Schizosaccharomyces pombe: one gene and its partners. Changing the gene in region 1 together with any one later gene gives a genetic interaction. Each region holds a gene or a part of one and is shown in the gene's direction. Other genes may lie near its edges. The genes, in order: trm6, dhp1 and tol1.

Region 1 (9,679 bases):
ATCGGCAATACGACGAATCTTGTCAGTTACTTCATCAACCAGCTCTTTTCCAACAGTGTAGTGACCACGAGCATAATTGTTTGATGCATCTTCCTTGCCCGTAATTAATTGCTCTGGATGGAAAAGATCACGGTATGGGCCAGTACGAACTTGGTCGATCACATTCGGTTCAAGATCTACATAAATACTTCTAGGAACGTATTTTCCTTGACCAGTTTCTGAGAAAAAAGTAGAAAACCCGCCATCACTATTTTGGGATGCAGTCTCAGGATTCATGTAACCATTTGGTTGAATACCATGTTCTAAACAATACAGTTCCCAACAAGCATTTCCGATTTGAGTTCCTGCTTGGCCAACGTGAATGGAAATGATCTCTCTCATTTCGAACGTCTTTCCAGGGTTTCTACGAGGTTTTTGGTGTTTGGTTTGTAGTGAAGTGCGGTGTACACTTAATCAAAACAATTCCTTAATAAAGAAGTCTAACGATATTTATTGATGATACGGAAGGAAGTATGCTAAACATGTAAATAGACATTAAAATAATGCATTGCTTGCAAAAAGAAGCTTACTCAGTCAGGTGTTTTAAGCTTTCTAATCATAAAAAGATTAGGATCTTCATCAATTTCACCTTTTATTTTCTCAATTTGTAAGTGAAAGATTGGATTGGTAAATTTCCATTAAAACTCAACATGTGCTCCTTTATAGAACAGGTATATCCTCATGTAAATCTTTTTAAAAGTATATAAAATATTACATAAGGGCAAGGAGAATTCCTAGCAAAAGTAGAGTTTATGCATAGCACATTATATATAACGAATTGCAACGCTCCGCCGTAATTTTTTTCTCTTCAAAAGCTCTTTTATTACGACGAAAAACTTGTCAGCAGCGTATATCTCTTGTGTCGCTACTAATTGCCCTTCCGTAATTGAGGATTTGATAGATCGAAATATAAAAACGTTGCATTTATTTGTTTCTTAGCCTTGTTCCGGCTTATACTAGAGTTACGCGGAAAAAGTTTTGATTTATTTGGAACACTGTTATTAGGCTTTTATAAAACGATTTAAAAAAAATGAGTACAGTGTATAAGTTGAAAACAAGTGAAAGGGCTCCAAAGAATGAGGATGAGGACGAGGAATACGTTCCTGTTCAAAACGGTCAAGGAAATAAGCATTCTGCCGGATTTGTTCCTATTAAACAAAAAGTCCTAGTTCTTTCCTCTAGGGGTGTCACATATCGTCAGCGACATTTGCTTAATGATTTGGTCAGCATGATGCCTCATTCAAAAAAGGACAGCAAACTAGATTCGAAAGATCGTCTTTATCAATTAAATGAGCTTGCCGAACTCTACAACTGTAATAATATTTTCTTTTTTGAGTCTAGGAGAAGAGAAGACTTGTATCTTCACATTGCTCGAGCTCCAAACGGTCCAACTGTAAAATTTCATGTTGAAAATCTTCACACCATGGATGAGTTAAATATGACTGGAAATGCTCTTAAAGGTTCCAGACCTATTCTTTCGTTTGACAAAACTTTTGATACGGCTCCTCATCTTAAAGTTGTTAAAGAGCTGTTGCAACAAACTTTCGGTATCCCCAAGGGCGCTCGTCGTAGCAAGCCCTTTATAGACCGGGTATGCACATTGACTATTGCGGATGGAAAAATTTGGTTTAGAAATTACGAAATACGCGAAAATGAGGATAAGTCGAAAGACCCTGTCACTCTGATTGAAATTGGTCCTCGCTTTGTAATGACTATCATTAATATCCTCGAAGGCTCCTTTGGTGGCCCTGTCATCTATAAAAACGATACTTTTGTCAGTAGTACGATGGTTCGTGCTGCTATTCGTAATCAAGCTGCTCAACGTTATGTTAATCGTCAAGAAAGCAAACTTGAACGTCAAGTTAGGGCTCAGCAGAACGTAATCCCAGAGGATCCTTTGGATAATGTTTTTGCTTAGTGTTATAGGTATTTAGGTAATAAAATATGGTGCATGGTGTTTGTAAAAGTTAAACTTTTATAACAATGTTTTGGTCTATAATATAAAGATCACATAAACATAATGTAGGTATTTTATAGTTTAAAAGAGTACTGGAGATATTGAAGAAGAGAAAAAATAATTTCTTTTGTCATTAACTATCGCATCTTTAGGTGTAGTATCTGTAATAAGCATAAAGCGGGGATTGGTATTAATTGAATCAAAAGTTGAAGCGAGAAAGCATCATTAATTTCCCCCTCGCTCCCAGCGAACCCATTCCAATATGGTTGACTGTCCAAGTACGTCTTTTATAGTTTTTTCGGAATCCACTAATGAACGAAATGAAAGCAGTTCAGAGGTTGAGGATGGGTCTTGAGCTACAATTTCTTTAGCGATTTGATTCGATAATCCCTTTCGGGTACTTAAGTCAGAGTTGATTTGTACCATAGATCCAATACGCCCTAATTGTTGCAATGGTGAAGATTGTTTCGCACCATGAGAAAATATACCTATGGCAGTACTAGGAACCCTTGCATTCATACAATGGAGCCTCTGTACTTGAACTTTTTCCCCTGTAAAAGAAGTCATTTTCACAATTTCTTCCTCCAAAGATACATTACTTGAAACATCTTTTTCATTGGCTTCATGATTTTTGGATACATATGCTTGGTGTTTCAAAATCTCATTTTTTAAAGTTGCTTCAACAGAATAAGAAGAATGATTTGTTGGAAGATAATGAAGGAAGGTAGAGGCGATCCTTCTAGCTAAGTCTTGAAAAGGTGTAGTTTGAGCAACAAAGTCGGATTCACAATTAATCTCGGCCATTACAGCCTTCCTCCCATCTTCACTAATGCATTGAATAATCCAACCTTCTTTAGCGGTACGATTCTTCGATTTTTCAGCAAGCTTACCACCTCGCTGAACGATCTTTTTTTTTAAAATCTCTCTAGCTAGCTCGAGGTTTCCAACACCAGCCTCTTCAACGGATTGCTTCACAAGATCCATGGATGCATTGGTTTCAGATCTCAACTTCTTTATATCAGCCAGTTTACTTGGTAATTTACTATACCATTGCCGACTTAAACTACCTGTGACACGTGTCTTCCCAAAAAACTGATGAAAATGAAGTCTCCTTTGAAAAAGCATAATTTGTTTTGTATCAAGGTATATCGTTAAAAAGGAATACGATTTTTCTGGTTTAGTAGCCCGTCTATCAAATCGGGGGTTCTGTTTTGGCTAAGAGACTGTATGGAGCTTATGAAGGCTGTGATCCAAATTGATCAGTATTGTATAAATAATTAAAAGAACTACATTTCGTTTAAAAAAAAGCACAAATTTCAAATACATAACTGATGTTGAAGTATATAGCTTGGGACAGTAAAAAAATGAATACAAAGCTGATGAATAATAATTAGAGCAGCAGGAAACTATGAGTAGTTAGAGTAAAAAACGTAATAATGTATTCTCATGGGTTAGACATCTTTCTAATGGGGCAATCTGAGGCATTTGTGTACAAGAACATTGAGATTGTTGTAAAAATCAGTTTTTCAAAGAAATCAAAGAATTTTCGTAAGAAAAGAAAAAAAACTTACTTCTTCCCACAATCTTTACAGAGAACAACATTAAGCATGAATAATTCTATTTTGAATGTATCATGTAAATTGCTTAGGCCGTGACACAACTGCTGAGGACTGCCAAGAACAATATGCTGAGGCATGCATCAACTATTTCCGAAAACAGCAGCGTTTTCATCAAGCTTCCTTCAGACAATGTTCGTTTTGTAACATTGAAACCAAACAAGTAAGTATGAGGATCTTAATTTACAATTTAAAGTACATTTTCAATGATAGCAATTGAAATTGTTTTTTGCATAAGGAGATAGAGGTGATCTAGTTTATCTCGTTCATATTGATCTTACTGACTTTATATTAAATAGTACAATTCACCTCGGAAAATTTGGTTCATTTCTCGCTGATGATTTGTTTGGAAAGCATTTTGACGAAACTTTTGAAATTTATCAACCCAAAAAAATTCGAGTTTTAAAAACAAGGGAGGTACAGTATATCGAGGAAGAAAAGAAAACGAATCAAGAACTTAATGATTGTCGAGGCAATCAGCTTATGACTCAAGAGGAGATTGATGAACTGCGCGCAAACATTAAAGCTGGTGGACTTCGTGCTGAAGAGGCCATCAAACAGTTGACTAATAGTAGTAAAACTTTTGAGCAAAAAACTTTATTTGCTCAGGAGAAATATGTTACGAGAAAAGGGGAAAAGTATCTTCAACGCTTTCAGGTTTTACGACCTTGTGTTGAAGTTGTGGCTAATTACATGATTGAACATGATCCGTATAAGATACTTGATCTTACTGCCGAGTGTATAAGCTTGATGCTTACTCTTGGAAATGTTAAACCTGGGGGTAGATATTTGGTAGTTGATGAGACTGGATGCATGTTCCTTGGTTCTCTTATTGACCGTGTTGCTGGTGATTGCAAAATAACCCTGGTCCATCCAAATGAGCAACCTAATAGCTCTTGTTTAGAGTATTGGGGGCAAGACTTTAAAGAGGATAGTTTGGTTCAAAAAGGGATTTTGAAAACTTTGAATTGGTATCAAGTTACGAATCCAACCGAGACTTTAAGTGAGTATTCGGTTGAAGATATTCCTGAATCAGAGTTGAATGAGATGAAACTTCGCCACCGTAAGCGCTATGAAACGAAGAAAGCTACATTTAACCGTTTGAAGAATACTATTGATGATTTTGAAAGTGGTAACTATGATGCTCTCTTTATACTATCTATTCACACCCCAATGTCTGTTCTTCAACATCTTCTTCCAAAGCTCGGTATATCACGTCCTTTCATGGTATACTCAACATATCAGCAAGTCTTAGTCGAGACGTATCATCAATTATCTAAATGGGATAACTTATTTGTAGAAAAGACAGCTCAAAGTACTGAAAATGACGAAAAGGTTGATCAAGGAGACGTTGCTATTGATACACAGAAAGAGAAAGTCATCATGCTGGATATTCATGAGATTCGTACACGACCTTACCAAGTCTTGCCAGAAAGGACTCATCCATTCATGACTGTTAGGGGTGATATGGGTTTCGTTTTATCTGGGATCAAGGTGTTAACTTCTGACAGCAATCTAGCTGCCGGAAGGTTTCCAAAACGTAAGGGCCAGAAAGAAACTTCTTCTGTCAAAAAAGCAAAATTGGAAAATTAGATATGAAATATTACTTTTGGAATATTTTTTTCAAGGCTACTCTATTAGATCAACAAGGGGAGTTACAATTTTGGACATAAACTCAGTTACGTTGAATTGGGAAAAGGTTTTTGTTATATTAAAAAGTTTTTTGTTTCATTCTTTAACTTAAAATTTTCATACGTATCAGAAAATGAATATGTTAGTTGGATAATGTAATTGACGGTGCGGTTTCAGGTTAACTCAATTTTGAAGAGCGTTAAAGTACAGTGTCTTTTGCTTGGCATTTTCATTCTTTTTAAAAATAGATTACTTGTAATAAGTATAAAATTAGTTACAATTTGACTGCTGCACATATACGTATTTAAGTAAAATAAGTAGTACATGGTCAGAGCAGCTGTGGATAGCCTTTTTGATCTTAAGCATGTTAATTTTAAATAAATATAAAAACTGATGAAAAAACAGCTTATAAATGACAATGTCGCATTTTGGTCTTATTTACTCGGTATAATGAACCCCATACTAGCGCTATCGCCAAGTTCGTTAATTTCGAAAGGACACCTAACCACGCTCCTTTCACCACTAAGCTTTACTTCGTCGAGTTTATAACCAATGACTGAATTTATTGGTTCTCGTATTAGTCTAATTAGCAAATCTGACATTCGGTACGTGAGAGCATTATCTTTCCTTTACTAATATTTAGTTATGTGGGCATTTTGCAGGACATCAATTCCCAGGACTCAACACTGGCTTTGAAGCATGGTAGGTTGAGTACCCAGCATTGATTACTAACAGTTTAGTCCGTTGGTGTGGTACTGAAGGAAGAAAACAAGATCCCTCTCAAGAAATCCCCCCATCAGATAATGTATTTGATTACATTGTTTTTCGTGGAAGCGATGTTAAAGATTTACGGATTGAGGAACCTGCTACTACTCCTTCTGCTCCCCCGGTTCAACCTCCTAATGATCCTGCAATTATTGGGGTATGTTACGTCTAAAGAGTGGTGGAGATTCTCATTAGTATATCTAGTATTAATTATCTTTGGCACTCTTTATATATCTGACAAGATCATGATTTTAACTATAATTAGTCTAATAGCGGGCAGTATAATTGGAACCAAGCGCAGACTGCCCAACCTCCTCAGCCTGTTCAACCTAACCCTTATGGAGCTCCATACCAACAGGCTCCTCCAGCAGGTGCACCTTACTATATGTACCCGAATGCTCCCGCTCAATTTGTACCTCCTGGAGGTTTGCCTTTGGGTACTCCCTTAGACGCATCCACACCTGCGGTCCCGTATTATGGGGCACCTGATCAACAGCAAATGGGTCAACGTCCTGAGTTTGCTCAAAATGTTTCTCAAGGGTTTGCCGGTCAGGCCCCGTACAACGTACGTCCTGGATACGGAATGCCTTCAAACCAGAAGCCTCCCAACTTTGCTCCGGGCATGCCTGCTCCTGGTCCTACCGCGGTATCTGCATCTCCGTCTCTTCAATCCATGCCGCCCACGAATGGAGTGATACCAGGTGCACAGCCCTCCATTGAAGCATCTATTGAAAAAGAAAGTACTAGTATACGGAATTCCACTGTCACAAATGACCGTGTTGTGAATACTACTGTGGATGTCTCTCAATCCCAAACCGTTGAAACATCTGGACCTTCTAAAGAAGTTCCTACAACTCAACCTGATGCTAGTGCTGCAAAGCCTCGTACCGAATTTGACTTTCAAACTGCAAATCAAAAGTTTCAATCGATGAAAGATGATTTGTTAAAAGGAAAAAATGATGAAGAAGCCGAAGAATTTTACAAGCCTAAGCAATCTTTTTTTGATAATATTAGTTGTGAAAGTAAAGAGAAGGGTATGGAAGCTGCAGATAGAAGAGCTCTACGAGATCGCGAACGTTCTTTGAACATGGAGACATTTGGCGTTGCTGGCTCTGGAAATCGCGGCCGTCGTGGACGTGGTCGTGGACGTGGTGGTAGAGGTCGTGGACGTGGATATGCAAGAAATCAATATAACCAATACAGGAATTCCAATGGCTCTCAACCTAGAGCCCAGCCTGCAAACGACCAATGAACTGCATTTCTTATAATGAGTACAGATGAAGTATCCTCGTTTCTCTAGATTGAGCTTCGTCTTCGTTTCAATCATGATGAACTCAAAATTTATGGACATGTATTTAACGACCCGAAAAAAGGTGTTCTCTTATATAAACCAAAAGGATTAGTCGTTGTTATTTGATATTTAACTTAGGAGTTTTGTTAAGTTCTTGTAGAGTGCTTTAAAAACTATACTTATCTGCTCATGTATTACGCAAGAAGAACAAGCATTGAAACGATATCCTATACCGAGATTTCGTAAAGGTATTACGAATAAATGTTAATGGGTTACATATAATTACCAAAAGGTTGAAGACTTAACCAATCCGCTAATGTTTATTCTTTTATACACCTTGATAGACCCAAAGCATCGCTGGTTGCATGACTGAACATTGAACAACCCGTGTTTTTCAACAGTCGTTTCGTTTTTGAAAAGCGTTTTGTAAAAATTTGATTCAGTCGACTTGTTTGAAGCTGACAAACTATAGAATCCAAACAACAATGTTTGAGCAGTATGAACAATTTATAAGCGAATCGTTTTAAAAATAAAAATGTGCTCTCTTAATTTTAGCATTTTTTAATAGTTTAAATTTCACGAACTTAACTACGTGATATAGTGTTTTAATAATCAGCAGTAGAAAAATTAGAACTTAATATTATTTGATCATCAACGAATATCGGAACGCAAGAGTTAACACGTAAACGATACATTACAATTATGTTTTGTTATCAAAAGTAAATTGATCCAGCGATTGAAGCTAAACCAGAGAAAAACATAAATGCGCTTCGAAATAAGTTTTTAAAACCCCATCTGTGAATTATACTGCGGAAATTTTGAGTAGCCTTTACATCTTTAAGTATTAGATCTGGATTTAACGTTTGTAAAGAGTTAATGTCCTTTTTCATAAACAAAAGCGTGAAAGGAATAATACATAGTCCAGATAAAGCCGATATAGCATACAATTTTGAAGAGAATATACTTCTCTTCCGTTCCGAATAAGACAAATAGCCCTGAACCAGAGCATTGGCAATGGCTAAAAATGGGAAGCTCTTTTTGCCCATACTATATATGTATTTCCATTGAGCCAGAGCGACGTCTGCAGGACCGATTAAAATAGCAGGCAACACTTGACTGGTAATGTAAGCAATGGCTCCTGCACTTCCGCAAGGAGTAAGAATTCCGACAGATTGAAACAAATAGACAAGACTCATCGTGAATTAGTGAAATTGAGTGAAAATTGGTGTGGCTGAAGGTGTATGTTAAGTACAATGTATATTCCAACGTTTAATTTCCTCTACCAATTTATATGTAACTAAGAAACTGTTTATAGTAATATGCTACTATTGCCATAGTGGCCACCTGGGTATACAAGCAATATGAAATTAAGACTTTGATATTGATTTAACAGAAGCCTTTCTCATGATTTTATACCATCCTGAAATCCTACTAAAAGATACGGTATATCAGAGGCTGTTTTCTACGCTTTGGTTTAATAGCTTATACCCCGAAATGTGCTAAATTACCAGATTTATTTGGTAAGTATAAGAACTATTTACATGATTGCGAGGCTAAAGCATTGACAATGGTATGCTAGCCCAGCGGAGTACTACCCTAGAAGTATTTCAAGCGGTTGCGATTTCCAAATGTGTAATATCCTGTCTAACGATCCTTTGGAAACATGATTTAGCATATACCCACAACATGGAGCATATCCATCGTAACGTTTGACCTTTGTTAACAGCCGGGATTAATTTATCCGAATTTTTTTCTATACCCTATCTCTTAAACGATAGGTATGTTTCTCATCTCTGTAGCCCTTAACAGATATCGTTCAATTGTCCTACATAGATTAAACCAGTTAAACTTGATTTCCAACCATTATACGTTAACACTTTTTTATAAAATTTGTCAAGTCAAATCACAACTGACACCTTCATGTGGAAAAATACCAAAATGATCTCAGCAATAAAAGGATTAAGAAAAACGAGTGTTAAGCTTTATCGGCTACTTAATGATGCCCAGCATGTTCTTCTTCATCAGTAGAGCTATTGTCATCATCCTTTATTTCGGCTGCTTGAAGATTTGCGAATTGATTATCAAATTCATCATCGACGTTAAAAGCATCATTAGCCAGAGATCCTGAGACAACTTGTTGTACCGGTAACTCGTCGTCGTCGTTATCCGATTCGTTCGCTGTATCAAAATCAAAGGGTTGACTAACTTCGTTAGAATTGACAGTAACCTCAGTATTACTATTTGCTTCAAAAGCACCTGATGTAGTATCAAAGTACTGATTCTCAGTACTTGAGGGTATAGTCTCCGAATTAGGATGCTGTACATGAGTAGTCGTAGACATTTCTAATTGATGATTAGGATCAGGAAGCTCCGTAACTG
Region 2 (12,481 bases), on another chromosome or scaffold:
TAAAAAAATGGCGTATACTTCCACAACAAAATTTTTAAAACTGCCGCTAAATAACAACTTAATATCTTTTGCGCATCTTTCATGGGTAGTTTAAGAGCTTTTTCTTTACTATGACTTTTGGTAGATTCAAGTTACGTTTGCTAAGTCATATTTCAAAAGTGGCAAAGTTGCAAAATCTTGTGTAAAAAATTGAGTAAAAGACATTGATCCAGCTTCGAGAACACTCATTTATTCGCTTTTTCTGACAGCTCATATTTTACATATAACTTTTAAATAGCATATTCATCTACGCATTTCGTAAAAGTTATCTTAATGTCAGCAATACTACACTACGCTATAATACACTACGTTGAGTATCACTATATGTCACATGTTCTAATTATATATCGTACCATGTATGATACGATATGGAGATTGATCTTAATGATAATCTATTAAGATCAATATTATCTGAATACTATAAATAGAGCTACTGCTGAACCTCGTTCCTCAGTTCAGTTATGAGCTATATTAGTGATAGGTAACATTATAACCCAGTTAATACAATACCTATACTCAGTTGCTACTTATACAACCTGTGTATTGTAATATAATAGATCACAAGGAAAACTCACCGCAGTTCTACGTATCCTTAAATCAGATACCAAACTGCGTAGCTTACAATAACTGAACTCTTGTGATCTACAATTAACTCCTTTAGGAAAAAGGAATTATTGAATAAATATATATCATAAATATATATATTTCTCTCCTTCTGGGTTCAAAGGAGAAAGAACTTTGGAAGGACTGTTATCCCTTTTGAAATCTCCCAAAGGGAAACATATACAATGTCCTACGCAAATTATCGTTATATGAAAGCAAGAGCAAAACGATGGAGACCAGAGAATTTGGATGGAATTCAAACATCAGACGAACATTTAATAAACCTTTTTGCAAAAATATTATCGAAGCATGTACCAGAGATAGGGAAATTCGATCCTAATAAGGATGTTGAAAGTTACATTTCAAAACTTGATCAACACTTTACTGAATACCCTTCATTATTCCCAAATGAGCATACTAAAAGACAGTATACATTGAATCACCTAGAAGAATTAGAGCAACAATTCGCTGAACGCATGTTTTCTGAGAATGGAAGTCTTACATGGCAAGAATTACTCAGACAAACAGGGAAAGTACAAGGATCCAACAAAGGTGATCGTTTAACTAAAACATTTGAAGGTTTTAGAAATCAATTGGACAAAGTTCAATTTATAAGGAAACTCATGTCAAAAGCAAATGTTGATGATTTCCATACTCGCTTGTTTATATTATGGATGCTGCCATATTCCTTAAGGAAATTAAAGGAAAGAAATTACTGGAAATCAGAAATCAGTGAAATTTATGACTTTTTAGAGGACAAAAGAACAGCCTCGTATGGTAAAACTCACAAGCGTTTTCAACTGCAAAATAAAAATCTAGGAAAAGAGTCCCTTTCAAAGAAAAATAACACCACTAATAGCAGAAACCTGAGGAAGACAAATGTTTCGAGAATAGAATACTCATCTAACAAATTCCTAAATCATACTAGGAAACGTTACGAAATGGTATTACAAGCTGAACTTCCAGACTTCAAGTGCTCAATACCCTGTCTAATCGATACGGGCGCTCAAGCAAATATTATAACAGAAGAAACTGTTCGAGCACATAAACTGCCTACCAGACCCTGGTCAAAAAGTGTGATATATGGTGGAGTTTATCCAAATAAGATTAATCGCAAAACAATAAAACTTAACATAAGTCTAAATGGAATATCAATCAAAACAGAATTCTTGGTTGTAAAGAAATTTTCGCATCCAGCTGCTATCTCCTTCACAACATTATATGACAATAACATTGAAATATCTAGCAGTAAACACACGCTCTCTCAAATGAACAAAGTTTCAAATATTGTCAAGGAACCTGAGTTACCAGATATCTATAAAGAATTCAAAGACATTACTGCAGAAACCAATACGGAAAAGCTACCAAAGCCAATAAAAGGGTTAGAATTTGAAGTTGAACTAACTCAAGAAAACTACAGATTACCTATCAGAAATTACCCGCTACCACCGGGAAAAATGCAAGCTATGAATGATGAAATTAATCAAGGATTAAAAAGTGGAATTATACGAGAATCTAAAGCCATTAACGCCTGTCCAGTAATGTTCGTTCCGAAAAAGGAAGGCACCTTGAGAATGGTGGTTGACTACAAACCTTTAAATAAGTATGTCAAACCCAATATATATCCGTTACCACTTATTGAACAATTACTTGCTAAAATACAAGGTTCTACAATTTTTACTAAACTTGACCTCAAAAGTGCCTATCACTTGATACGAGTAAGAAAAGGAGATGAACATAAACTTGCTTTTCGCTGTCCTCGTGGAGTTTTTGAATATCTAGTAATGCCTTATGGCATATCTACAGCTCCAGCACATTTTCAATACTTTATCAATACAATACTTGGTGAAGCCAAAGAATCACATGTAGTATGTTATATGGATGATATTTTAATTCATTCAAAATCGGAATCTGAACATGTAAAACATGTTAAAGACGTTCTACAGAAATTGAAAAATGCGAACTTAATTATCAATCAAGCAAAATGTGAATTTCACCAATCACAAGTAAAATTTATAGGGTATCACATTTCGGAAAAAGGATTTACGCCTTGTCAAGAAAATATAGACAAAGTCTTACAATGGAAGCAACCTAAGAATCGTAAAGAATTACGACAATTTCTAGGTTCTGTCAATTATCTTAGGAAATTCATTCCAAAGACATCACAATTAACACATCCACTCAATAATCTTTTGAAAAAGGATGTACGCTGGAAATGGACACCAACACAAACCCAAGCGATAGAAAACATTAAACAATGTTTAGTTTCTCCTCCGGTGCTACGACACTTTGATTTCAGTAAAAAGATTCTACTGGAAACTGATGCTTCAGATGTCGCTGTAGGAGCCGTATTGTCTCAAAAACATGATGATGATAAATACTATCCTGTTGGATACTATTCAGCAAAGATGTCTAAAGCACAATTAAATTATAGCGTATCGGACAAAGAAATGCTTGCAATCATTAAGTCTCTCAAACATTGGAGACACTATTTAGAATCCACTATCGAACCTTTCAAAATTTTAACAGACCATCGAAACTTAATTGGTCGCATTACTAACGAATCCGAGCCTGAAAACAAACGTTTAGCTCGTTGGCAATTATTTTTACAAGACTTCAACTTTGAAATTAACTACAGACCTGGATCAGCAAATCACATAGCTGATGCCTTATCCAGAATTGTTGACGAAACAGAACCAATTCCAAAAGATTCAGAAGACAATAGTATCAACTTTGTTAATCAAATCTCGATAACCGATGATTTTAAAAACCAAGTGGTTACAGAATATACGAATGATACAAAATTGTTGAATTTACTAAACAATGAAGACAAACGAGTGGAAGAGAATATCCAACTCAAAGATGGCTTACTAATTAACAGTAAAGACCAAATCTTATTACCTAATGATACTCAGCTGACTAGGACAATTATTAAAAAGTATCATGAAGAAGGTAAATTGATTCATCCAGGCATTGAACTTCTTACAAACATTATATTACGTAGATTTACGTGGAAAGGAATAAGAAAACAAATACAAGAATATGTACAGAACTGCCATACATGTCAAATAAACAAATCTAGGAATCATAAACCTTATGGACCTTTACAACCAATTCCCCCATCAGAAAGACCTTGGGAATCTTTATCAATGGATTTTATTACAGCTTTACCAGAATCATCTGGTTATAATGCACTTTTCGTGGTAGTTGACCGATTTTCAAAAATGGCAATCTTAGTACCTTGTACGAAATCCATTACAGCAGAGCAAACAGCTCGAATGTTTGATCAACGAGTTATTGCTTATTTCGGCAATCCAAAAGAAATCATTGCAGATAATGATCATATTTTTACTTCCCAAACGTGGAAAGATTTCGCACATAAATATAATTTCGTTATGAAATTTTCGTTACCATACAGACCACAAACTGATGGACAAACTGAGCGTACAAACCAAACTGTGGAGAAATTACTAAGATGTGTATGTAGCACACATCCAAATACATGGGTAGATCATATATCCCTAGTGCAACAATCTTACAACAATGCGATACATTCAGCAACTCAAATGACACCTTTTGAGATAGTACATCGCTATTCACCAGCTTTATCACCTTTAGAGTTACCTAGCTTTAGTGACAAAACTGACGAAAACTCTCAGGAAACGATCCAAGTATTTCAAACAGTTAAAGAACACTTGAATACAAACAACATAAAGATGAAAAAGTATTTCGATATGAAAATACAAGAAATTGAAGAATTTCAACCTGGAGACCTAGTTATGGTCAAAAGAACGAAAACAGGTTTTCTTCATAAATCCAATAAATTAGCACCTAGTTTTGCAGGACCGTTCTATGTGTTACAGAAGTCGGGTCCAAACAACTATGAATTGGATCTTCCAGATTCAATCAAGCACATGTTTTCATCTACTTTTCATGTTTCTCACCTAGAAAAGTATCGACATAATTCAGAACTCAATTACGCTACCATTGATGAGTCTGATATTGGAACAATTCTTCATATCCTAGAACATAAAAACAGAGAACAAGTACTCTACTTAAATGTCAAGTACATTTCGAATCTAAATCCGAGTACTATTATGTCAGGATGGACTACATTAGCTACAGCGCTACAAGCGGACAAAGCAATTGTCAATGATTATATTAAAAACAATAATCTAAATATCTGAGAACATATGACTTATCCTCAGATTTACATAGAAAATCTTGGGGAGGGCAATGTCAGCAATACTACACTACGCTATAATACACTACGTTGAGTATCACTATATGTCACATGTTCTAATTATATATCGTACCATGTATGATACGATATGGAGATTGATCTTAATGATAATCTATTAAGATCAATATTATCTGAATACTATAAATAGAGCTACTGCTGAACCTCGTTCCTCAGTTCAGTTATGAGCTATATTAGTGATAGGTAACATTATAACCCAGTTAATACAATACCTATACTCAGTTGCTACTTATACAACCTGTGTATTGTAATATAATAGATCACAAGGAAAACTCACCGCAGTTCTACGTATCCTTAAATCAGATACCAAACTGCGTAGCTTACACTTAAGAGACTAGATTTTAACTATTGTATAGCGAGTACGTTAGTAATTTCCAATTTACTCCAATGTGCGTTAAAAAATTTAGGTAGGACTGCGGAGACTACGCTAGATCTAGATTAAAATACCTAAATATTAAATCTTCAACTTATACTACACTCGTAGTCTTTAGTATCTAAAATTTACCAATTTGGGCTTTTTTGAAGCATTTGGTTTGGAGAAGATTTATTCGATTGAGTATTTTCTCCTTTACACCAAAAAATGGGTGTTCCAGCACTTTTCCGCCTTTTGTCGAGGAAATTCGCAAAGGTCATTACACCTGTTATTGAGGCTCCTACTGAAAAGCTTCCAGATGGTACTGAAATTGAACCAGATTTAAGTCTTCCCAATCCAAACGGAGTGGAATGCGACAACTTGTATTTGGATATGAATGGTATTGTTCATCCTTGTTCCCATCCTGAAGATCGCCCCGCTCCAGAGACTGAAGACGAGATGATGGTTGCTGTCTTTGAATACACGGATCGTATTCTTGCCATGGTTCGTCCTCGTCAGTTATTGTTCATTGCAATCGATGGCGTGGCTCCTAGAGCCAAAATGAATCAGCAGAGATCACGTCGTTTTCGTTCTTCTCGTGAAGCAGCTCTCAAAGAAGAAGAATTACAAGCCTTCATTGAGGAGGCAAAACAACAGGGAATTCCCATCGACGAAAACGCTACGAAGAAAAAATCTTGGGACAGTAATTGCATTACCCCCGGCACACCTTTCATGGACACTTTGGCCAAGTCTCTTCGTTACTACATAATAAATAAACTAAATAGTGATCCGTGCTGGAGAAATGTCAGATTTATACTTTCTGACGCCTCGGTTCCTGGTGAAGGTGAGCATAAGATCATGGAATTTATTCGATCTCAACGAGTGAAACCAGAGTATGATCCAAATACACACCACGTTGTTTACGGTTTAGATGCAGACCTAATTATGCTTGGTTTGGCTACTCATGAACCCCATTTTCGTGTATTGCGTGAAGATGTCTTCTTTCAACAAGGAAGTACTAAAAAGACAAAGGAAGAGCGTCTTGGCATCAAGAGACTTGATGATGTTTCTGAGACCAATAAGGTTCCTGTAAAAAAACCATTTATATGGCTCAACGTTAGCATTTTGAGGGAGTATCTAGAAGTGGAACTTTATGTCCCCAATTTACCTTTTCCATTTGACTTAGAACGTGCGATTGACGACTGGGTCTTCTTTATCTTTTTTGTGGGTAATGATTTTCTTCCTCATTTGCCTAGTTTAGATATTCGTGATGGTGCCGTAGAGCGGTTGACTGAAATATGGCGAGCTAGTCTTCCGCACATGGGTGGTTATCTTACTTTGGATGGTTCTGTTAATTTAGCTCGTGCTGAAGTCATTCTGAGTGCTGTAGGTAACCAGGAAGATGATATTTTTAAGCGTCTTAAACAGCAAGAAGATCGTCGTAACGAAAACTATAGACGCCGTCAACAACGCGAGTCAAATCAGGAATCAGAATCTTATGTTGACAACGTCGTAATTCAGCGTTCAGTTGAGACGCAATCGACAGAAGTTGTTACCTCTTCTAAATCAACTTCTGTTGATACTAAACCGCCAAAGAAAACTCAAAAAATTGACGCTCCGGCTCCAGTGGATTTGGTTAATTTGTCTGAAAAAACTTCAAATCGATCTCTAGGCGCTACTAATAGAGAATTAATTAATAATCGCGCTGCTAACCGTCTTGGACTTTCTAGGGAAGCAGCTGCTGTTTCTTCAGTTAACAAATTGGCGGCCTCTGCATTGAAAGCTCAGTTGGTTTCAAATGAGACACTACAAAATGTTCCTTTGGAAGACAGCATAGCTTCATCCAGTGCATATGAAGATACCGATAGTATTGAATCTAGTACCCCTGTTGTACATCCAATAGACACAAAAGTTTCAAATGTGGGTCAGAAGAGAAAGGCCCCAGATTCGACTGAAGAAAATGAAAATACTGATACAGTCCGCCTGTATGAGCCTGGATACCGCGAACGGTATTATGAACAAAAATTCCACATTTCACCCGATGAACCAGAAAAAATTCGTGAAGCTGTTAAACATTATGTTCATGGATTGTGCTGGGTTCTTTTGTATTATTATCAAGGCTGTCCATCTTGGACCTGGTATTATCCATATCATTATGCTCCTTTTGCCGCTGATTTCAAAGATTTGGCCTCCATAGATGTAAAATTTGAACTAAATCAACCCTTCAAGCCTTACGAACAATTACTAGGCGTTTTACCTGCTGCTAGTAAAAATAATTTACCTGAAAAATTGCAAACTCTTATGACTGATGAAAACTCTGAAATTATTGACTTTTACCCGGAAAATTTTACTATTGATTTAAACGGGAAAAAATTTGAATGGCAGGGAGTTGCTCTTTTACCATTTATAGATGAAAATCGGCTTTTGAATGCTGTATCAAAAATCTATCCTCAACTTACCGAGGAAGAGTCAAAAAGAAATGAGGATGGTTCTACTTTATTATTTATTTCTGAACATCATCCAATGTTTAGCGAACTTGTCAAACAACTTTACTCCAAGAAACGTCAAGGTAAACCACTTAAGTTATCCGGAAAGATGGCACATGGATTGTTTGGCAAAGTTAACACCAATGATTCCGTAATTCCCAATGTATCCGTTCAATGCCCAATTGATGTTACATCCGCTGACGCCCTTCAGAAGTATGGAAGCATAGATGATAATCAATCTATAAGTCTTGTGTTTGAAGTACCTAAATCGCATTTCGTACATAAATCCATGCTTTTAAGGGGAGTGAAAATGCCGAACAGGGTGTTAACCCCAGAAGATATCAACCAAGTACGTGCAGAGAGGAGCTTTTCTTCCCGCCGAAACAATGGTAATTCGTATCGTGGAGGACACCAAAGTTATGGTGTCCGACGCTCTTACCAATCGCAAAGTTACAGTAGTCGACAGAGCTACACTGGAGTTACTAATGGTTTTGCAAACGGTGGAGTTCAACCTCCTTGGTCTGGTAATGGCAATTTTCCTCGTTCTAATGCAAGCTATAACTCTCGCGGCGGCCACGAAGGATACGGCGGGCGCTCGAGAGGTGGTGGTTATTCGAATGGACCGCCAGCTGGTAACCACTATAGTAGTAATCGCGGAAAGGGTTACGGCTATCAGCGAGAATCCTATAACAATAATAACAGGAATGGCTACTATTAATACATTTAAGTTTTCTTAGTACAATTTTGAAAGCGGGTTTGGGATATTGGAGATAAATAATATATCTGATTATTTGAATTTCATTGGCACATTGCATAATTAGTTATGCAATTCAGTTACAAAATGCATGTTGATAACATAAAATTATACTCAACAACTATACCGATCTATTCCTCTTTCTTAAGAGCAGGTAATACTTCTGAATAAACATCAAAGCGGCGTTGAGTATAGATAGGAACGCTGTTTCGAGCGGTAGACATGACAGAGGGATCAATATCTGCGTAAACGATAGACGGTTTTTCATCAGTAGTAGCAATAACTTTTCCGAAAGGGTCTACAACAGTAGAATGTCCCCATGAATGATAGTCAGCGTTCATATCTCTAGCAGGGGCACAGCAAGCAACGAACATCTCATTATCAACTGCTCGGGCTCGTGCAAGTAGTTCCCAATGTAAAGGGCCTGTGGACAAATTAAATGCTCCAGGGTAAATCATCACACTACAGCCATTTCTAGCTGCTATCATAGCGAGTTCCGGAAATCGTATATCGTAACAAATACCCAAACCAAACTTCCCGTATTCAGTGTCAACCATAGTCATGGCGTCGCCAGGTGAAAGACTATCAGATTCGCGGAAGCTAACTCCACCAGGAATGTCAATATCGAATAAATGAATTTTCCGATGAACGGCTATCAATTTTCCAGAAGGATCAAACACCATTGCAGTGTTGTATAATTTGCCATCCTTGCGTTCAGGAATAGAACCGCCAAATAAGTAAGTCTTAGTATCCTACAGTACCGTTAGTCTCACATAATCAACGAAAATTAAATTAACAAACCTTTGCCATAGAGGATAAAGCTTGGTAAGAAGGAGATGATTCCTCTATAGGTTCAGCATACTGATTAAAGTAACCAGTACCATATGGTGAATTGAAAATTTCTGGTAATACAATGACATTAGAACCGTTTTTAGCGGCTTCCAATACTTTTAAACGAGCGAGTTGTAAATTTTCGCTCTTGTCTTTGGTATTGGCAAGCTGAACCAAGCCAATACGAAAAGCACGAAAATCTTTAGGAACCAGAGATGAAGCTGAGACAGACATGATGTTCCTTGTATAGCAAAAATTTAATGAAGGAAAAAAGGATCTTGTGCCTTTTTGAACGAGTCCAAAAAATTTACTGTTCATATAAACAATCACCGACTTGAAATTTTAGGTGAAGGAAGAGGAATGAGTAGAAAGCAAAGATACGAGGGAAGATGTCCTGATTTGTAGGCTAGTCTCAGAATATCTAGCTTGCGATAATTTTGAGCTCCAAAATATTATATTCCTGAAATCTCAATGTAACTTATTAAGCACGTGGCTAGCGAAATCCTCCAATCCAAATTACACCTTGTTATCAAAAAGAAATTTAGCAAGGTGATCAAACTTCCATGTCTTTGATAAGAAGAATGTCGACATCAAACTAGTTTTCAATCTATTGTAAATCTAAAGAAGAAAAAGGGATTTACATTCAAGCAGCAACTACACAAATAGAAATCGTTGTTTGAATGTTACGGAAGGCAAGACCAAAAAAATTGTTTTTGTTTATCTACAAGTTACAAAAGAATGATATTTATTACTGTGTCAACTAGTTTATAGGTAATGATAATATCGTCTGTCATTTTTAGAAAAAGGGGATTCAATTACTATAGATATTCAGTTGTTCCGAATGTGTTGAAAAATAAAATCTTAAGCGTCTTCGTTTCGCAAAAGAAGAAAATAAATGTTATAATAGCTCGAATGAACTGTTTGGCATACATGTTAATTTCACGTATATTGAATATTGATCTTGTTCAATAACAAATGAACTTATGGCATGCATAAGATCCATCAATCGAGAAGAGCCTAAAAATCGCATTTGAATGCGTATTTAAAGAAAGAATAGCTGTATCCTTAGTCAAAAAATTTTGTATTGAAAGAAAAAAGATTAAGAGTATAATGAAAATAAAGAGGAAAAGAAAGTTCGAAAACCAAAAGATGACCAAGAAAATAATGAGTAAATTACGTTGTTTAGCAAACAACCAAAATAAATTGCAATAATAAATTATAGAATTAACACATGATCCGAATAAGAGTAAAGCTGTGGAGATTAATAAGCTCTCCATTCAAATTCGTTGCGCTTCAAATCATGGAATTCACGGAAATCCGAAATGAAATGACACCTGAATAGATATTGAAATAGATGGTAAAAAGAAAGAATGAATTCGATTGGAAAAATGAACATAAAAGATGATTTGATGCAAAAAGTAAAAATGCTTCTCCCTACTCTTTCAAATACTTTGTAAATTGTTTTTGCGAAAGATATGATTGCATATCTGGACTTACATGCTCCGACAACTGTTCGGAGTCAGGAAGCAATAACCCATTCATGAATAAAAGTTCCAAGAGATGTAACTTACTAGTATCACGAGTAACCGCTTTTAAAAACACCACTCCATTCTCTTCAAAATTTGGTTTGGCGGCTAAACCTAGTAATATTTTGGAGATTTTATTTTGCTCCAAACCCTCCAATAAAGTAGCATCAGCATCTACTCCTGCAAAGTCAATGAATGCGTGTTCCACATACTTCTTCTGGGCAAATGCCAACTTCACCTGCGCATTATGCTCCGGCTTTGGCTTCAGCGAAGGATTAGAAAGTCCTTTTTCATAAACACGGTTGACAGCAGCATTACCAATTTTGCACAAAAGGACTTTCGATTGCTGCGATAACGAGTCGAGTAGCAAAGAACGTGTTTTCGATATATGAGTACCTAAAGACCTATGTATACCACTGCATTCAATACAAAGAACTACCGGTATATTGATCGAGCACCAAGTAACATCTTTAACCGAACCGCAATCTGCACACACACTGTTAGAGACATCGGTCTTTCGGAGCATTTGAATGAAAATGTTTGCACTGGCATGGTATCTCTCTAACTGTTCCATATGCATAGTACCCGAATTGTCTGATCGAAAAAATTGTTGAAGGTTCCACGAGCCTTTTCTACTGAAAGCCTTCTTAATACCCGAACCGCTTAATTTTCGGCTGATAGGCGTGGTCTCAAAACTCGTAGAAAATAGTGGAAATACCTTAGAGGGTCGTCTCACACTTGCACTCAACGGCGTTGCAACCCTAGAAAGTTGGAAAGACGAAATCTTTGCTGCTTCGCATATAGCTTCAATCCACGAGTCCATCTCTTCAGCAGACGTGGCTTGATAAAGTCGCTTCAATTTCGGAGTTACAACTTCGAAACAAAACCTCCTTCCCTGTTTGCGAACTTTATCAGCAGATGCATGTTTTAACGAAATGGATGAAACATTAGATTTTACGGAATCTTTCCAGTTTGCATACTCCCATAAAGAACCGTTCTCAACAACAATCCAGTGCTTGTGCCAAGCGGCTTTACTAACCATAGCTAGATCTGTACCAAGTTCGGTAGCACCAAATACTAAGAGTAGACCCTCTTTAAAAATCTTGTCAGGGCTTGCACTACCCCCATTAGAAATGCACTTTCCCTTTATCTCCGTTGTAAAATTGCTTGTCTGGCTAATATCATCTGCAGAGGCTGCCATGCGACGATTTGGCATAGGACTCTGTATTTCATGTAAAGGGAAAGAAGGGGAAATCGGAGATGGTGAAGGCGGTGCCATGGACTTTGGACGACCGCTAGTTTGAATTACCTGGGAACGATGCATCTCTCTGCCCTTGTCACGTCTGGTTGTACTCCATTTTGTTTTTTCAAGTTTTAAATTGAGTTGCTGAAGATTCGGAAGAACACTATTCATCAAATTACTAAAAAGTGCAATATGGTCATATTGGCGATGAAAGTACTGCAAAAAAATACCGTTAATATCATTAATAATGGAACCATCGTGAAGGTCTTGCATAAAACAATAGTAATCATATCGTTGTAAGGCAAACGTTTTCTCTTTTTGAAAAAATTTAGAGTCTCCTCCCTTTTTGTCCTTTTTAGCTGATAGATAACGCGACAAAGATCCAT
Region 3 (9,482 bases), on another chromosome or scaffold:
GCAATTTTACAAATCGTATAGGAAGAAAAGCGATTTATCCACAACAAAAGAATAGCTAATGGTGAATGACTATTCGCACATCGACATATACAAAATAAGAACATAAACGTATTGCTATGCACAATCCATCCATTTTATGTATTGAGGAAATATAGTATTGGGGACATAAATTTTGAATATAGTTTTGAAGACAGATGCTTAATGCAAGCAGTAAAATGTAAGAGCATCTGAAAAATGAAAACGAGTGAATGATAGTTGGTAAAGCTGAACATAAACATTCTATATAAGGAAGAATTGTTTAGGCGACTAAGCGTTCCAAAAATGAATTCCCCGAGATGAATAGAAAACTGTCATAGACACAGTACATATATATACATCGATAATTGTGAGCGGCCTTATCAATTTGAAGCAGCCAAGCTTTAAACCATCTTCCAATCCGAGCCTTTTGCCAAGTTAAGTAGTGCCAAAATTTAATACTTCGAAATAAATTCTGGGAAGCGAAAATTAAAGTATGACATATATTAGAGGTGATGCAAAAATGGGAGATATTAAAATATTAGTTGGTTTACCACAGTTGTTTCCATTCACATTCCATTGTCATTCACTGGATGGCTTTAACAAAAAAGGAAGACATATGAATGCAAAGGCTATGAGAAAATTTTAAGAAGTAAAGTGATAATAAAATCGTCATAAAAAGAAATTATAATACAAGAAGAGGAGCTTGTGAGACTTCACCATAAACAAAAATAAAAAGAACAAATCCTTCTATTTTTCCTCACCAAATTTACCCCGCCACCATTTTAAAGTCAACTCCTTTATTTGATCCCAATAACTTTTACTCGAATCTCTTTCCTTCAAATACGTGTAGCCACGATAACAAATCCAAATAAAATCTGACAAGGCAATAAAGATGGCAACGAAGTTGTCTGCAAAGACTGCAACAAATGCGAATCGTTTGCATGAACCAGAGCAGTGCAACGGTTGGGCAAGTATAACGATAATCTGTATTTGAGGGAGAATCCACATAAAGATAAAAATTGCAGGATAAGCAAACAAAAACTTAGACTGACTTAAAATGCGTTTCCGTTGTTTAAGGAGGGGATCATCTTGCATATCATTTCCATATGCAGCCAAAACACTAGAAGCACCATCTTCGTCACTAGTCAATGGACTACTGAGTTTAAAACTCGTGTGATCTTCAAGGCCATTTGTGCGATTTGGACTATCCCTAAAATCCTGTTCGAAATGTATTCCTGATTGATTTAGATTAGCAGGAGTAGACTGCGAACCAGGAGGCAAATTAGGATGCACAGAGGATAGTAACGGTCTCGAATAGGGAGAAGGTTGAGACTGCGAGGAGTAAATGGATTGAGAATTAGATGGAGTATATGTTAAAGTACTGTTGGTGTCGGGAAATGGTGGAAGAGCTACTTGATCCGGAGCGGTAGGATACGAATCAATGACATTTAAAGTATCAAACACATTTGTTTGTTGATGTGAGTATTTCTTGAAACGTTTGATTTTCCTTCTGATCGAGATGAACATGCAAGTTTGTAAAGCAATAATTGCAATACTTAGCGCATAATCAAATGACCAATTCAAACCAAACATGAATCGTACAGGGGTATAGGGAAGGTAGCATCGGGTTTGTAAATTGACAAATGTATTTCTTTTATTGGTAAAAGCAAGTCCGCCAATAGTTAAAGGAATTACAAATGACAGTGTAAACACAGTATGCCGAAAACGATATAGACCCCTTCGTTCAGTATCAACATGGGGGAAAAGCACCAAAAGAGCATTATGCAATATGTTGATAAAAATCCAATAATCAGTCATCCGAACAAGTACCAAAAGAAAAAATCCAATTGTAAAGCATCGATGTTTTGGAGCCCAAAAAAAAGGATCGCTTAATGCTAGACATGGATGAATCATTTGCACAATGGAACGAATAAACAATACAGAAAAAAGAGCGATATGAAATTGTTCACGTATTGTTCGCCGACGAGACCATCGCCAGAAGATAGCAATTAAGCTGAAAACGATAGATATGGCTGAAGCTATAATGACCATGATTCTCAGGTTAGCTAACTCTCTGCGAGAGACAATGATGATGGAACTCGTACTCGTGGCATCGGAAACATTAAACGTATAATCTAAATGAAGCATGAGCAACCTTGTTCCTTATTACAAAGTTTAAACTTCTCTTCAAGAAGACAGGAAAAAAAAAGAGAGGAGAGGAGGTGAGAAAGTAAAAAACAAGAAAAGCAATATCAGAACGAAAAACAAAAAAAAAGACAAAAAAAAAAGGAATACTCCAAAGACAAATCTATGACTTCAGAAATGTTCAAATAGACAAACAAGAAAGCAAAACAGAATTTTCAGCCACTTGGGTAATCAGTCCTATTACCCTTAAGAAGTGCAAAAAATAGTATATCTCGTATATCCAATTACCCAAGATTGCATATCTGACCCTCGATTTTCTATAAATTGCTTCGTTCGCGAATATAAACAGTCTCTTCAAGTTGATGTAAAAAACTTAGCAAACTGGCAATATAGAAGGAGCTCTCTAAACTAAACGAGTTTGTTTCGAATATGAATTTGAATTCCCGTACTTTTATTTTTGTTTCTGTTTTCTTTTTTCCAAAAACAAGCTTCTCGTCTTTACTTTTCAATTAACTCAACTATTCTTTCGAAAGTTGTAGACACACGATTAAACTGTTAAAGGTAAAAGTTGAAATAGTAAATCTACTGCTTTTTCCTTTAATCGTGGCCGACGAAGCAGCTCAAAAGTGATAAACGAATGCAACCAGGAAAGCCGGACGCAAAACGGTGCCGACGATTATTAATAAAGCGCAGTCCCGTCTCGACACTCTTGGCAAGAAGAAAAGCGCAATTGACGTGAACAACCAACGATGTATTGTGCTTATAAAGAAAGCACTAGTGAAGTCACTTAGAGCTCAAAGCCACTTATGCACGTTTTGCAAGGCTCTTAATAGCGTGGCGAACCTTCTTAAGGATATTGAAGAATAGGGAAATCGGAGGCGGTATGGCTTGCAATTAACGCCGTACAGTGAATAAAGCGGTACTAAATCAAATCGGTGAAATTTACCGATAATTAAGGAAAAGACAAATCAATTGAAGGCGCCGTGGTTTGGGTTGGCTGATGGAGTTGGCTTGATTATAAGTAATGATGGCGGAGAGTTGCCGCCTTTGCTGTTGTGTATGAGTGTGTAGTGAATATGCACAAATATACCTCAACGACTAATGGATAAGGTGTTATAGCAAGTACAGTAGTTAAGTACCAATGCGGGATTTTTCTGAAAAAATATGCAAGCACACGGGCTTGACAGAAACACAAGAGGAGACAAATAAACCAAAGTCTCCGCACCTTAAGTCCACAGAAGAAGAATAAAAAAAAAGATCGCAATTGAATTATGTGAGGGGGCCCAGGCGTCAATAGTACAGAGTCGATTGACTAAGTAGATTTAAGATCACAAGCTGTAGAGCAAATCAGAAATTTGCACCTACGCAGAGACAATGAACAATTGTAATTTCAGAAAAAAAAATATCGACAACGATTCAAATTCCGAGTAATTTTCTAGCAAGACTATTGAAGAAAAAATTTCCCTAATCCCTTGATGAGCCTTGTCGCACTAACACAATATCGGCGATGCTTTCACACTCCTAGATGTGCTACCACCAACCATTATAACTTATGAAAAAAATTTGTAGTATCGCTGTAAACGAAATTTTTGTGTAAGAATGACGAGAGTTGTTTTTGCACAGACAAACGAGGTTCGGACGATCGGCCTATTTTTTAAGTACGATAGTGATTAGTATAGTATATCGTGAGGAGCAAATACAATCGCATAAAAAAAATCAGGGTGAAAAGAATCATTTCAGAGTGCGTTAATGAGAAAGTCCTCGTTATAAAAGAAAAAAAGGAACCGATGATTTAAAGTTATTGATGGTTTTAAAAAACAGCGTTTATTTTTACAGTGTTTAAAGTCAAGTCAATATTAGGCACAAGAAGAGGTCACACTTTATTTTCAAAAGAAAATGGATGAAATGCAACTCCATGCGTTGCGATAAGCGTTAAACACCAATCTAGGAAGCAGTCCCTCAACAGAAATGAAGCGAAAATCGAATGATGGTGAGAATAGAATAATAAAACGAGCCCCGGTAAATTGAAAGTTGATAGAATCAAGTTTCAATTAGGGGTAATGAAAACGTGCTTAAAAATAGGGAGTAATGTTGTAGTTACCAAAATGAACAATTCGGACCAGACCAATAAATATTGTCGAAATAAAACAAGGAGTGTTAAATTTTATTATTATGTCTTTATTCTCCTTGGAAACCGGTTCGTCCACGTGAAGAGAATTCTATTAGCATTGTCGAAACCGTTTGATCCGGTTATGCCTTCATATCTTTGAAAACATTTCCGCCAATTCCACCAAGTGAAAATCACAATATCGTTAGTCGGTATTGTCTTTAGGTTTACTAGCGGGGGCGTTTTTGTTTTGAGGAAAAAAGAATATTCTCTGGTTTCCATCTACCTTAAGTGCCGATTAGGCAGATAAGCTAGATTAAGTGAAATGGGAAACGGGATTCATTTTCCATTGACAACACTTTTAAACATTATTTGATAATTCGCATGCAACCCTTCAAAGTCGATTCGACATTTTAAGGTTTACTTCACGGACATTGAAATCATTGTGAAGCTTTGTAGACTGTTGTCTCTCTCGGAAGTACCCAAAAAAAAAAAAAAAATCCTTTTTACACTCATAACGTTCTAGCTGTTTCATCCCTTTAAAAAATATCATGTTTTTTTTTTGGTGCTCGGAACATTTACTTTCTCCACTTGGTTCGTCTATTTTTGAAGTTAAACTAACTATTTGACCATTTTCGTACTTAATGTCATGAACTCCTCTCGTGGATTGTTAAGTCAATTATCAAAACCAACCACCAACTCAATTTTAACCGTTGTAACCTGACCCATTATTAACACTAGTATTCATGCTGTACTTGCGGCAATTCCCCCATCAAAAAGTTTTCAGAGTTGTCTTTTGATACCGATTATGTGTCGTGGTGGAGGCTTACACCCCAAGGATCGGAACGGGATCTTCTCAATTTGATTTTAATGCTCTGCATGGACAAGCCTAAGGGAAAAGAGTCATGCAACAAGTAGAGAAATTTATTTCAACATTGTTGTGTTGGCGGTTTCTGTTTGCTAATCCTCAGCAACGATCATATGCAGTTGAGATCTCGACCAACTTTTCGTTAAATAATGTCAAAATTTGCAACAAATGTTTTATCACGGTACTCGAAGAATGTGAACTTAATGAAGTTTCTCATTTGGTTGCCAAATTGTGGTCACACATCAATTTTGTCGAAATAACCATTCCGATCCTGATTTCGTTCCATTTTTACTACTTTTTTAAATTTGGGATTAAGTTGAATTGGTCTGTCTTCCTACATCTTGTTCCATACCCGTTCCAAACTTTGACATAATTGGATGAAGCTGTCTTGTTTTAGATAGAATAATACCTTGGAGCGTAATTGCTTTTCCTCTTCAGTAAGTTCTGTTGGTAGGATTTGTGAAGTCGTTGGGGGTGATGGAATCAAATTTGCGTATGCTTGGTTCTCCGGTTGAGCAACCCACGAAGCCTGTGTCTGAGAGTTCAGCGGCGTAGCAGCAATAATGGGGTATTGTGAGTTTGCACCGTAAGAGTAGGCATTACGATTGGGATTAAAAGGTGATGAAGTTATCACCACGTTTTCATCCCAAGTGGGTTGTTGTGACGCAGTAATACTTTCAATTGATGTATCACTTCGAAGGGGCATTTGGGTCATGCCCGCATCCCCGCGGAATCGCTTAAGCGGTGGTGTATTGGAGAAGATTTCAGCATTTGGCATGACATGCTGCAGTGGTGCTGGATTGACATAGTTTGTGCTATTGTTCACAGCAGTTGTTGCTGTTTGGGTCATGGGGATATAACTCGGTTGTAATAAAAGATTTGGCTGTTGCGCCGATGACTTGTTATATGCATTGTTCATCAACGAAAGTTCCTGTGAGTTATTAGATTGACTTTGGGAGTTATTGAATTGCTTCTTCTCAGAGGAAGACTTTGCATCTTTGAACACCAGGCCTAGCTTCTCAAATTCAACTTTGGCTTTCATATAATGCACGTCAGATGGGAATTTCACTTGAAATCTTTTCATCACCTAAATTTATTAACAACAAAATACGCTTCATCAACACTCCATTTTTTTTTTTAAAAAAAGAGGCCTCAATGTGATTTTGAATAAATCTGCTTTTGTTTTACTTACATTATTAGTGAAAGCACGAATATTCATACACGGAGCGCGTGAAAGCAGAGTTAGACATTTTTCCTTCGTTCCCGGTATCAATTGGTGCCAGAGATCTAACAAGTTTATACTTTGCTGTTTGTTTGTTAAAAATATTGAATTTTTCTAGCAATATGGTTTCATGTCGCGTACAATTAATTCTTCGTGTTGACGAATTTGAAGCAATCCAGACGTTAATGAGAGTGTAAAACCTCCATCTGAATAATGTGACCAGTTGATATGGGAGGAATCTGTAGTATACGAATCCTCAGCTACAGAGTACTTAACAATTGGGAAAATGTTCATGTTTGTTTATGTTTGAATATGAGAAGACGCGTTAGACTGAACCTCATTTATCTGATAACGCAGTACGTTCCGTCACGGTGTATTACTTTTGTTTACATTTATGAGTTGACCTGAAAACGACTAGACTTTATGGAATGTAAGTCTTGTTATCACAATATATTACATATGATTGTAATTTGCCATAAGGAAACTATTTCTTCAATCTGTATTGAGGAATATCTGATTGTTCATTAATTTCTCAAGTCTCTTCAAACAACAGTATTTTGAGAGAAAGGAAATTTTATGAGCAGTTTCTTCTTTTACTAATCAATCCCTTTAAAATATTTTTATGCCTTCATTTCATCCTTGGTATCTACACTTATATAAAAATTTTAGGCATATTTGCCTGTTAAAGGGAAACGCAAGATACGGACTTGCACTGCTTTTAAATTATGCGTTTTTTCCATCAGAATGATATTTTTTTTCCTTAATATTATATTTCATCCTTTCTCCATAGGTTGGAAGGGTTGGCGAACTGCTTTGCCAATACCCAGACTTTAGTAGTGTCGTTTGTATAATTAATGAAAACCTAAAATGTGGACATGGAGAAACCTGTTTTAAAATATTAACATGCTCTTTTCACAATAGAAACTACATAATCATTATTGTTTAATAAAAGTTAGCATAACCTGCGATTTTACAAAAAAAAAAGGTCTTTTAGTCAGAAAAAATGAAACTCTTTCTCGTTTCATAACAATTTTTTAGTTCTTTCTTCTATTTGAACAATATTTTTGGTTAAATGTGGAAACGTCAATTAAACACCGTATATGCTGATTTCATATTCTTCGCACTTCCACTGCCCAGGTTTACAAAAATTTCCAAACTCCGTGTTAACAGGAAATTTGGTGCTAAAATCATACCTCCATTAATAAATAACATTAGAAAATTATTTACCATGAGCTTTGATGCCGAAAAACAATTAGCTATTGCTGCTGTGCGCAGAGCTAGCTATTTGACCGAAAAAGTGTTTAATCAACTTATCAAGGAGAAGAGTGCTGCTGGGGCACTTACTAAAGATGATAAATCACCTGTGACTATTGGCGATTTTGGTGCTCAAGCTATCGTAATCTCTATGTTAAAAGATGCATTTCCCAATGATCCAATTGTTGGCGAAGAGGATTCCGACTTTTTGAGAGAAAACACCCAAACCTGCTCTCGTGTTTGGGAATTAGTTCAAGAAACTATCCAACATGCTACTGAATACAAAGAGCTTGGTCAAATCAAGTCAGCTGAAGAAATGATGAGCATTATTGACCAAGGATCATATCACGGTGGTCGCAATGGTCGTATGTGGACTTTGGATCCCATTGATGGAACTAAAGGATTTCTACGTGGTGCCCAGTATGCTATTTGTTTAGCTTTGATTGAGAATGGAAAACCTGTGGTAAGTGCCATTGGATGCCCTAATCTTCCATATGACTTTAATCAGCCCGAGACAAGTCCCAAAGGTATCATAATGTCCGCTGTTCGTAACCATGGTTGCTTCCAGTATTCTCTCCATAACGAAAAATTAGAACCAGTTCAAGTGCACATGCAAGATGTTCAAAACACCAAGGATTCAAAATTTTGCGAAGGAGTAGAGGCTGGTCATTCAATGCAAGGAACTCAAGAAGAAATTGCAAAGTACTTAGGGATTACTCGTGGACCTACCAAGATGGATTCTCAAGCCAAATACGCTAGTCTTGCTCGTGGTGATGGTGACATCTACCTTCGTTTACCAACCAAAATGACATTTGAAGAAAAAATTTGGGATCATGCTGGTGGTTCTCTTCTTGTTGAAGAGGCTGGTGGTGTTGTTTCTGATATGTTTGGCAAACCTTTGGACTTTGGTGTAGGAAGAACTCTTAAGAACAATAACGGTGTTATAGCCGCCTACAAAGGTATTTTTGAAAAGGTAATTGAAGCTACTGCAGCTGTAACATCTAAAGACCCTCACTTTCAAAAGGTCGCCCAATAATCTGTCCGAAATATTCTAGCTTTAGGGCTTTATTTAGATTTTTCAGCATGTTAGCATATGCGTTATCGAGGATTCTACAAAAAATGTAATCTTGAAAATATTTACTTGCCATAAGCTTATGATTAGCTCCTTTTAATTAGATCAAAACAATTAACAACATGTTATATGTCTTTATGGATGACATATTTTATTTACCTTAAATTATGGATTATATAGTAGCAATGTTTAATTGTTCAGGTATAGTTACACAGGTCAGTATGAATAGGTTAATTGTATAGTTATTTTCCATATTACCTTACTATTTTACTTTTAGTATTCTCGTAAATTTACTATACGGTGGTGTTGATCAATTTCAAGGAATTTATGCCTTCAAGTGTGGTTTGGCTAATAACATGGACATGTTTTCTTAAAACGGTAAAACTTTTTAACAATTTTGATGAAACGAATATTGAGCTCATGATCCAAATTGGTATTTTGAGATCCTTCCTAAGTACTTTGACTTGCGCTACCTTGATTCCTGCTGAAAACGTTTGGAAAAGGCATGTAATAAAAGTTTTCTATGATAATATTTGAGACACCACATTTTTCGAAAAGAAATATAATTTTTTAACTCTTAGAACGGGTGATAATGTCATTTCCTACCGATATGGAGACAAATGAAATTTTGGATCAGTTAGACAAAATTGACGAAAGAAATGAAGATATTCTTTTAAAGTCTCTAAAAGCTTCTAAATGCACATATAAGCCCTGGAGCAGAGAAGAGTTTTTGAGACGATTGTTGACTTATAGAAGTCGGTGGGCTTATGTAAACGATCCTCAAATTGGTGAGATA

What was found.
Region 2: of trm6 (region 1) and dhp1, a mutation in one rescues a mutant of the other (synthetic rescue), as found in Schizosaccharomyces pombe (one study listed by BioGRID).
Region 3: of trm6 (region 1) and tol1, a mutation in one rescues a mutant of the other (synthetic rescue), as found in Schizosaccharomyces pombe (one study listed by BioGRID).

The regions. Positions count from the first base shown.
Region 1 is NC_003423.3:261,694-271,372, forward strand, and holds trm6 (translation initiation factor eIF-3 gamma subunit Gcd10), read left to right. Parts: upstream 1-3,661; 5' UTR 3,662-3,680; coding exon 3,681-3,775; intron 3,776-3,911; coding exon 3,912-5,205; 3' UTR 5,206-5,536; downstream 5,537-9,679. Other genes in the region: atb2 (tubulin alpha 2), read right to left, coding at 1-381; ribosome biogenesis protein brx1, read left to right, coding at 1,070-1,957; translation elongation factor EF-Ts Tsf1, read right to left, coding at 2,222-3,121; sum2 (translation initiation inhibitor), read left to right, coding at 5,797-5,849, 5,888-5,946, 5,985-6,166, 6,275-7,261; SPOM_SPBC800.14C (uncharacterized protein), read right to left, coding at 8,014-8,496; ede1 (EPS15 repeat-containing family actin cortical patch component protein), read right to left, coding at 9,294-9,679. UniProt on the Schizosaccharomyces pombe protein: Substrate-binding subunit of tRNA (adenine-N(1)-)-methyltransferase, which catalyzes the formation of N(1)-methyladenine at position 58 (m1A58) in initiator methionyl-tRNA.
Region 2 is NC_003424.3:3,353,895-3,366,375, reverse strand, and holds dhp1 (5'-3' exoribonuclease Dhp1), read left to right. Parts: upstream 1-5,372; 5' UTR 5,373-5,483; coding exon 5,484-8,459; 3' UTR 8,460-8,626; coding exon of another isoform or gene 8,627-9,247; 3' UTR 9,248-9,296; coding exon of another isoform or gene 9,297-9,644; 3' UTR 9,645-10,232; downstream 10,233-12,481. Other genes in the region: Tf2-4 (retrotransposable element/transposon Tf2-type), read left to right, coding at 828-4,829; SPOM_SPAC26A3.11 (mitochondrial omega-amidase), read right to left, coding at 8,627-9,247, 9,297-9,644; cnt6 (centaurin ADOP ribosylation factor GTPase-activating protein), read right to left, coding at 10,761-12,481. UniProt on the Schizosaccharomyces pombe protein: Possesses 5'->3' exoribonuclease activity. Required for the processing of nuclear mRNA and rRNA precursors. May promote the termination of transcription by RNA polymerase II. Essential for vegetative cell growth and chromosome segregation.
Region 3 is NC_003421.2:1,542,416-1,551,897, forward strand, and holds tol1 (3'(2'),5'-bisphosphate nucleotidase/inositol-1,4-bisphosphate 1-phosphatase), read left to right. Parts: upstream 1-7,488; 5' UTR 7,489-7,588; coding exon 7,589-8,650; 3' UTR 8,651-8,982; downstream 8,983-9,482. Other genes in the region: G-protein-coupled receptor Git3, read right to left, coding at 766-2,166; meiotic recombination protein Rec7, read right to left, coding at 5,473-6,225, 6,331-6,444, 6,502-6,654; zinc finger C3HC-type containing RNA export factor Rsm1, read left to right, coding at 9,279-9,482. UniProt on the Schizosaccharomyces pombe protein: Phosphatase that converts adenosine 3'-phosphate 5'-phosphosulfate (PAPS) to adenosine 5'-phosphosulfate (APS) and 3'(2')-phosphoadenosine 5'-phosphate (PAP) to AMP. May regulate the flux of sulfur in the sulfur-activation pathway by converting PAPS to APS.